Callithrix jacchus: one gene and its partner. The protein of the gene in region 2 purifies or fractionates together with the protein of the main gene of each other region. This does not show direct contact. Links are inferred from orthologs where the notes say so. Each region holds a gene or a part of one and is shown on either strand. Other genes may lie near its edges.

The links.
Region 1: the proteins of UBXN10 (region 2) and VCP purify together in Homo sapiens (affinity purification with western blotting; 3 studies listed by BioGRID and IntAct, with this or other methods). This does not show direct contact. The link is inferred for Callithrix jacchus from reciprocal best matches to the Homo sapiens genes UBXN10 and VCP.

Annotation. Positions count from the first base shown.
Region 1 is NC_133502.1:141,942,947-141,946,446, forward strand, and holds part of VCP (transitional endoplasmic reticulum ATPase), read right to left. Parts: intron 3,055-3,500; coding exon 2,924-3,054; intron 1,652-2,923; coding exon 1,520-1,651; intron 178-1,519; coding exon 75-177; intron 1-74. UniProt on the Homo sapiens protein: Necessary for the fragmentation of Golgi stacks during mitosis and for their reassembly after mitosis. Involved in the formation of the transitional endoplasmic reticulum (tER).
Region 2 is NC_133508.1:57,038,131-57,042,155, reverse strand, and holds the start of UBXN10 (UBX domain-containing protein 10), read right to left. Parts: upstream 2,801-4,025; 5' UTR 2,734-2,800; intron 1,327-2,733; 5' UTR 1,155-1,326; intron 1-1,154. UniProt on the Homo sapiens protein: VCP/p97-binding protein required for ciliogenesis. Acts as a tethering factor that facilitates recruitment of VCP/p97 to the intraflagellar transport complex B (IFT-B) in cilia.

The DNA of each region.
Region 1 (3,500 bases), on a different chromosome or scaffold from region 2:
CATGAGCTCTCCAGCTCATGAGTCCCCATTCAAAATTGGGTCTAGCTAGACCTAAGATGAACCAAGTCTCTTACCATTGATCAAAAAGAAGAATGCTCCAGTCTCATTTGCTACAGCTCGAGCAATCAGGGTCTTCCCTGTCCCAGGAGGTCCATAAAGCAGGATTCCTCTAGGAGGCTGAGGACCAATGCAGAATGTGATTAGGTTCTCACCTTCTCCCAAACCCTAAAATGGATTGACTAGGGCTCCAGAGAGGGCGAGAATCAGTCTTCAACCCTGACAATATTAAGAATGAGCCCTCAGCAGTAAATGCTAGGAAGACAGCTTACTTTAGCCACACTAGCACAGAAAATACTGCTACAAAGTGAGCAACATTTATGATTGCAACTTGCATAGGAGACTAAGGGCAGAGAAACTCTAGTGAAAAATAAGTTTGAAGATACGTAACTAGGAAAAGGCAAAAGGACATTACACTAAGGGCTCAATTTCAGGCAGACCAAGGGCCAAAGACTAGCTAAGACATTTGAGAGAGCAGGGTCTATTTTCGTCATTGCCAGAGGATCACTTACTCCAGTAATCATACCTTCCAGAATTTATCACATTGGAATGATGTTCCTTACAATCACCAATCTTCTTCTTTGACACTACCCTTTCTATGGCCTTATTTACAAGCAGGACATTGAACATAGAAGATGAAATTATTTGTTTATTGACACATACTAAGGAAATGAGTAACTTCATTTTCAGTGTGTTCCACGATATAGAAAAGAATGGGAAACTACACTCTAGACCAATAGTTCTCAAATGTTTTAAACTCAGAACCCTTTAAGACTCTGAAAATTGCCGGGCGCGGTGGCTCACGCCTGTAATCCCAGCACTTTGGGAGGCCGAGGCGGGTGGATCACGAGGTCAAGAGATCGAGACCATCCTGGGTCAACATGGTGAAACCCCGTCTCTACTAAAAATACAAAAAATTAGCTGGGCATGGTGGCGTGTGCCTGTAATCCCAGCTACTCAGGAGGCTGAGGGAGGAGAATTGCCTGAACCCACGAGGCAGAGGTTGCGGTGAGCCAAGATCACGCCATTGCACTCCAGCCTGGGTAACAAGAGCGAAACTCCGTCTCAAAAAAAAAAAAGACTCTGAAAATTTCCTTAACTTGCTTACTTCTACCAGGTGACACTGCTCTAGATAGGCTGGCAAACTATGGTGAGATTTGATTTTACAGGGTCCACTGAGACAAGAATAGCTTTTACATTCTAAGAGCTGTAAAGAAAAAACCCATATATATGTGTGCATGTGTTTGTGCGCATATGCACACAACAGAGAATTTAATTAGCTTGCTCTGTTCTATACCATCAACTCTAATGAATTTAGAGCCTTCAGTGAATTAAAGGATTTATTACTGCCCCTCTAATCCAAGACAATAACAAAAGCCACGTATGAAAAAGTCCCAGGATCAGACATTGGGTAGTCATTAATCACCACTTTAAACTGGATCCCAGAGCCCAAAATGCTCACCTTCACACCAATTGCCTTAAAGAGGGCAGGATGTCTCAGGGGCAGTTCCACCATCTCCTTTATCTGAGCCAGCTGCTTCCTACAGCCACCAATATCATCATACCCTACTTCATTCAAGGACTCTTCCTCATCCTGAAAAAGAGATAAAGAAAGCAGAAGGCAAGAATATAATATCAGCAGAAGCTGAGTTTCTCTAAATCATTCCACTACCTAGTGTACAAAAACCTACCATATAAGAAGATTCTCAACCCAGCACGGTGGCTCACATGTGTAATCCCAGCACTTTGGGAGGCAGAGGTAGGACTGCTTGAGTCCAGGAGTTCTTGGGCAACATAGCGAGACCCTCATGTCATTAAAAATTAAATTAAATTGCCAGACGCTGTGTCTCATGCCTGTAATCCCATCACTTTGGGAGGTCAAGGCGGGTGGAACGAAGTCAAGAGATCGAGACCATCAAGATGGTGAAACCTCGTCTCTATTAAAAATGCAAAAATTAGCTGGGCATGGTGGCGCATGCCTGTAGTCCCAGCTATTCTGGAGGCTAAGGCAGGAGAATTGCTTGAACCCAGGAGGCGGAGGTTGCAGGAGCTGAGATCACGCCATTGCACTCCAGCCTGGGTAACAAGAGCGAAACTGTCTCAAAAAAAAAAAAAAATTAATTAAATTAAATTAAAAAGAGAAGATTCTCCTCTACAGGGATCCAGCCTCAAAGAACAGCTATAAAAATCCCAAGGCAAAGATTTCTAGCACAGTCCTTGCCTCTCACATTGCTCGTAGTCTTATTGAGAAGGGGGTCTCTAAAATCTGAGGCTGGAAACTCTGGGAATGGACAAAGGCCTTCAGCCACCATCAGCTATACTTCAAAATTGATTTCAATCACTTATATACTTTGGGTTCAGTCTAGATTTTTGAAATTCCTGGCATTAGGTATCTCCAAAAAACACCTAGACCCAGAAATGAATATCTGGCAGATTTCTCATCCCTGAAAGATGCTTAGTTCTCCAAAAAGCATCCAGTCTGTTTTTTTGTTTTTTTATTTTTGAGACGATCTCACTCTGTCACCAAGGCTGGAGTGCAGTAGCACAGTCTCAGCTCACTGCAACCTCTGCCTCCTGGATTCAAGCAATTCTCCTGCCTCAGCCTCTTGAGTAAGCTGGGATTACAGATGTGCGCCACTAGGCCCAGCTAATTTTTGTATTTTTAGTAGAGACAAGGTTTCACCATGTTGCCCAGGCTGGTCTCAAATGCCTGACCTCAAGTGATCTGTCCCCCGAGCCTCCCAAAGTACTGGGATTATAGGCGTAAGCCACTGCGGACAGCCGAGCACCCAGTCTTGACAGTTACCACATGATGCCACACTGAGTAATCACGAAATTGGATACTGTGATCAGGGAGAAAACTCACCTCTCGTTTGATAGGCTCCCCTTCGCAGTGGATCACTGTGTCTGGAGCAACAATGCAGTAAGGGCTAGGATCTGTTTCCACCACTTTGAACTCCACAGCACGCATCCCACCACGGACAAGAAAAATGTCTCCTGTGAGAGCAAGCAATACAAGCACAGTTAGAGGTGTCAGCTACAATACAAATTGAGAATTCATCAGACCCTGGGTCAAAATGCCAAGCTTATTAGGTATTGTCCTTCATTAGATATTACCCTCTCTCCAATGCCACCCCAACTGTCTTAATAAGTAGTAGGCAAAAGGAGAAAGGTAAACTGTGAAGAGTCCCTCTGCCACTCAGGAGGTTGGTGCAGAAAACCTGACATGCCAGAAGCCCATCAAGTTTTGACTTCTGCCATATAATTAGCCCAAGCTTTACTACAACCACCAATGCTAGAACTGTACACTTTGGACCCTGACATAGTCAAAATGGACCACCTTCTCCTTCAAAGATCCATAAGGATAGCTTACTCTCCTGGAACAGAGAAGGGGAGAGATGGAGGGAGAAAATGATGGAGGAAAAGAAGGGCAGAAGACATGA
Region 2 (4,025 bases):
GCTCATCTCAGAGGGGAAGACTGTGACCCGTGGGAGTTGGTGGGGAGGGCCTGGGCTGGTCAGGCCTCTCGTTTGGCTTGCCCCCTCACTCACTCTGGTCATCCAGAAGCCTTCTGTGGCCCTCGGAATGTGTAGAAGATGGTGGTTTCAGGAGCTGCTGCTTTTGCAACTGAGTGCTGGCGGCTTATTTTTTGTTAATGATTCTGTCAAAGTGTCTTAGCAATGCTCTTCAGCCCTTCAGCGCCCACCCCTAAAAAGATTAGAGTGGATTCTTCATTAGCTATTTTAGAATCACCTAAGAATTATGCAATCCTTTGGAGAATCAAATTGGCTTCTCACCCCGCGCGTGTGTGTCTGTGTGTGTGTGTGAGCGCATGCGCGTCTATGCGCACGCCTTTGCCAGTGCACAGTGAAATGGCGGTCGGTTTAATGTCGCAGTACAGGCCTTTCGCGCTCCAGTGTTGCGTAATGCACAACCCCGGGGGAGGCAGAAGAGGAGGACAGGAAGCTGTCGGTTCATTGCTGTGACTCTGCTGTCTTTGTCCCCGACCTTCTATATAGAGGATGTCTTCAAAGAATGGACCCAATAATGGCTGGTGTCAGGCACATACGCAGAGTGGGTCTCAGGAAACATGGGCAGAGGTCATTGCCCTTCTAGCAGAAATGTGGACTCAGCTTCCTTTACAGACATGCCTTGCTCTGCTCTCCGGCTCTCTCCCTGGGCTGCAGCCAGCCTGCTCCCCAAATGGCCCCAGCTTTTTCATCTCCAGTGTCTTTGCTCATGCCTGCCCCACCTTGCCCCCTTCCTTGAAGTTAAGCCAAACTGACTGATCCTTCAAGCCCCATCTTAAAAGCCACCTCTTCTGTGAAGGCCTTTCCTGGCCACAGCCTCCCCACAAAACCTTCTGTGCTCTCTCAGGACCCCTTTGGTCCAGGGGAACATGCCCAAGATGGCACTGTGCACCCTCCCTAGGTTGGCTCCTTTCATCTGCACGACGCTTCTCCATGGAGGCATCATCGCCATCCTTTGCTTTAGAAAACAGTGGAGCCTCAGGGTTCCCCACAGTGAATGAGCAGCAGAGCAACTTTACAACCCATATCTAGCTGTTTCCACAGCCCACCCTGGACCCGAGTCCCACCCCCAAGTTCCTCACCTGCGTGTTCCCCCACGGCACTTATCTGCGTTGTCCATTGCGCTGGTTGTAGGGACCGCAGGCGTGGCCTCTAAAGCCAAAGCTTGAGTTTGAATCCTGGCTCCACCACTTGCCAGCTGAGGATCCTGGGTAAATGATTTACCTTGGCTAGATGTCCTCCGTTTCCACACCTCTAGAAGGGAGATGATAAGCACAGGATTGTTGTGAGGCTGAGTGTGCACCTCCTCCAGTAAGTTTGGAGCTCCTTGAAGTCAGGAACTTGCCTGTCTCAGAATCCCCTGCTTTGCCCACACAATGCTTACTTTGTGATAGGTGCTCAGCAAGTGAGAATAAGTTAATGATGATGGTGTTGCTGATTCCAAGTCTAGCCTTTCCACTGAGCGATCCAGCAAGCTGCTAATTGGTATCCTTCCCACCCATATTTGGCTTGGAGTCCAAATGACTTCCCCAGGGGCTGGCTGAAGGCGGGAGCCCCAGTTTTTCAGCAGCTTGTCCCCACAGAGTGGCCCCATTTTGAATGAGTGACTTCTAGATTTCAGAGTCTATACCCAGTGTCCTGCTCTGCCTGTCCTTGATCTCATTAGACATGTGGATTGAGATCATGGGTAACCTTTAAGCAGAAGGCGAACCAGGTGGATAGTCTAGTAACAAGGCCAAGAGGCTGACAATTAGTCATGGCTCCTGTGATCAGCTTCCTGAGGGGACCTACAAGAGGGAACTTTCTGGATGATGAAACTTAACAATGGGGATACACGCTGAGAACTTCATTGCTAGGTGATTCCGTCATTGTACAAACATCGTGGAGTGTGCTTACCCAAACCTAGATGGGTCTCGCCTACTACACACCTAGATGATATGGTGTCGCTTACTGCTCCTAGGCCACAGACCTGTACAGCCTGTTATTACTCTGAATACTGTAACACAGTGGCAATTGTAGCACAGTAGTATTTGTGTAACCAAACAGATCTAAACACAGAAAAGGTACAATTTAAAATACGGTATAAAAGATAAAAAATGGTATGCCTCTAGAGGCAGCTGCAATATAATCTTATGGGACCACTATCATATGTGTGGTCTGTCATTAGACGAAAATCTCCTTATATGGTGCGTGACTGTGCCACGGCTTTTTATGATTTTCCCTGTATTGCTGGAAAATATCCAAAAAATGTATAGCCTACTTTCCAGTCTTGTTAAGCAGAACACATCAAACTCTGGAACTTGCCTTGGCTACTGTTGACCAAGTGTTTTCACCTTCAAGAGCTTGTTGAATCTTGCCGGCATTCTGTGGGGGGCTAGAATCACTGTCTCCACCTCCCTGGTGGAAGAAGCTGAGGCTCGGATGGTTTAAATCTGTCAGGAAGGGGCAGAACAGCTCCAGCCCTCTTCTTTGACGTGGCTCCTGAGTTAATCGCCCTCCACCCTTGCAGTTTCTTGCACAATGCTACCCTCCTTGGCAACTCACGGTCAATAATTGTGCTCCAGGTGCACTATTTTGATGTGGATAGACCCAGCTGCCCCAACACACAGTGGCCCAGGCTCCTAGGCTTCATTGTTTATCACTTTAATCACCCCCTCTTACCTTCCTGTAAGAAAGAAGCCGCTCTGACACCATTCCTCTGCAGCTGCTGGACCTGAGAAGTGAAGCCGAGCAGCTTCTTAGAACTGTGTCTAAAATAAGAGTCGAAGAGTATAGTGATACCTGCTTTGCTGCTTGGGTTGTTTTGGGTTTTGCCTTCTCGGTGTTTTGGATAGGCACCGAAGCAAGAGAGCTTTCAAAGGTTAGGAGGGCCAGCTTTGGAGTCAGACACACCTGGGGTTAAGTCCAAGACCTGTCAGTTTGCAGGGTAAATGACCTGACCTCTGCCAGCTTCAATTACTCTTATTGGTAAACTAGAATTAATTGTATATGCCTCATTGGGAGGGTTCAGAAAGATTCTAAGAGAATCCTAATTCACTTCCTGTGCTTAGCCTCCTGTTGGTACTCCAGGGGCTGCAGGGATTGTTTTTATTTCTGTGACTTGAAGTATGATAAGACTATTTATTCATTCATTCATGCCTCAAATATTTATTTACTGCCCATCTTTCCATGCCTAGTTTCCTTATTTGCCAAATGAGGGTAATAATGGCATTTATCCAGCTGGGGGATGTAAGATTTAGTGAGTAAATATATGTAAAGTGCTCAGAACCCCTGCAAGGCATAAATAACATAAATATGATATATACATTAGCCATCATCATCCTTAGTGCTAGTTTGCGCCAGGCACTGTGCTAGGAAGACACTGGGGATAAAGAAGTGAACAAAACAGACATGACCTCTGTCCTTAATGAGCTTGCAGGCTCCATCCATCTTATTTTCTCTATGGGAAGAAAAGCCAACCAGTGTTTCATCACTGTTGATGAAAGCTGAATTGATGGGTCCAGGAAATGACCCAGACAGTAGCTCCTAGGGACTGCACAACTTGCTGGCTGCTGCCCTAGGGGCTGGCATGGGAGGCAATGCCGTACTTTCTACATTCGTGCCCCTCATCCAGCCTCTGGCCCTCAGGTCCTGTGCTCCTGGTTTAGCTTCAGCACAGTCCTAAGCAGCCCCCGATGACTTGTCAAATGGAGAGAACCATGCCTGAATCATAGCTGTGAAGGTCAGTGCATGAAAATGCCCTCAAACCTTCAAAATGCCACATGAATGTCTGGGCAGGGAGACTGGCAAGGGGGAAGAGCACTGGATTTGGAGCGAGGGACCAGAGTTTAAGTCCTGGCCCACTTCGTAGCTGTGTAGATTTTTTCAGGTTACTTCCCCCTCTCTGAGACTGGGTCTCCTCTGTCAAATGTGAATGCGATAGAACCTGCCTGGTAGGGTTGCAATGAGGGGTA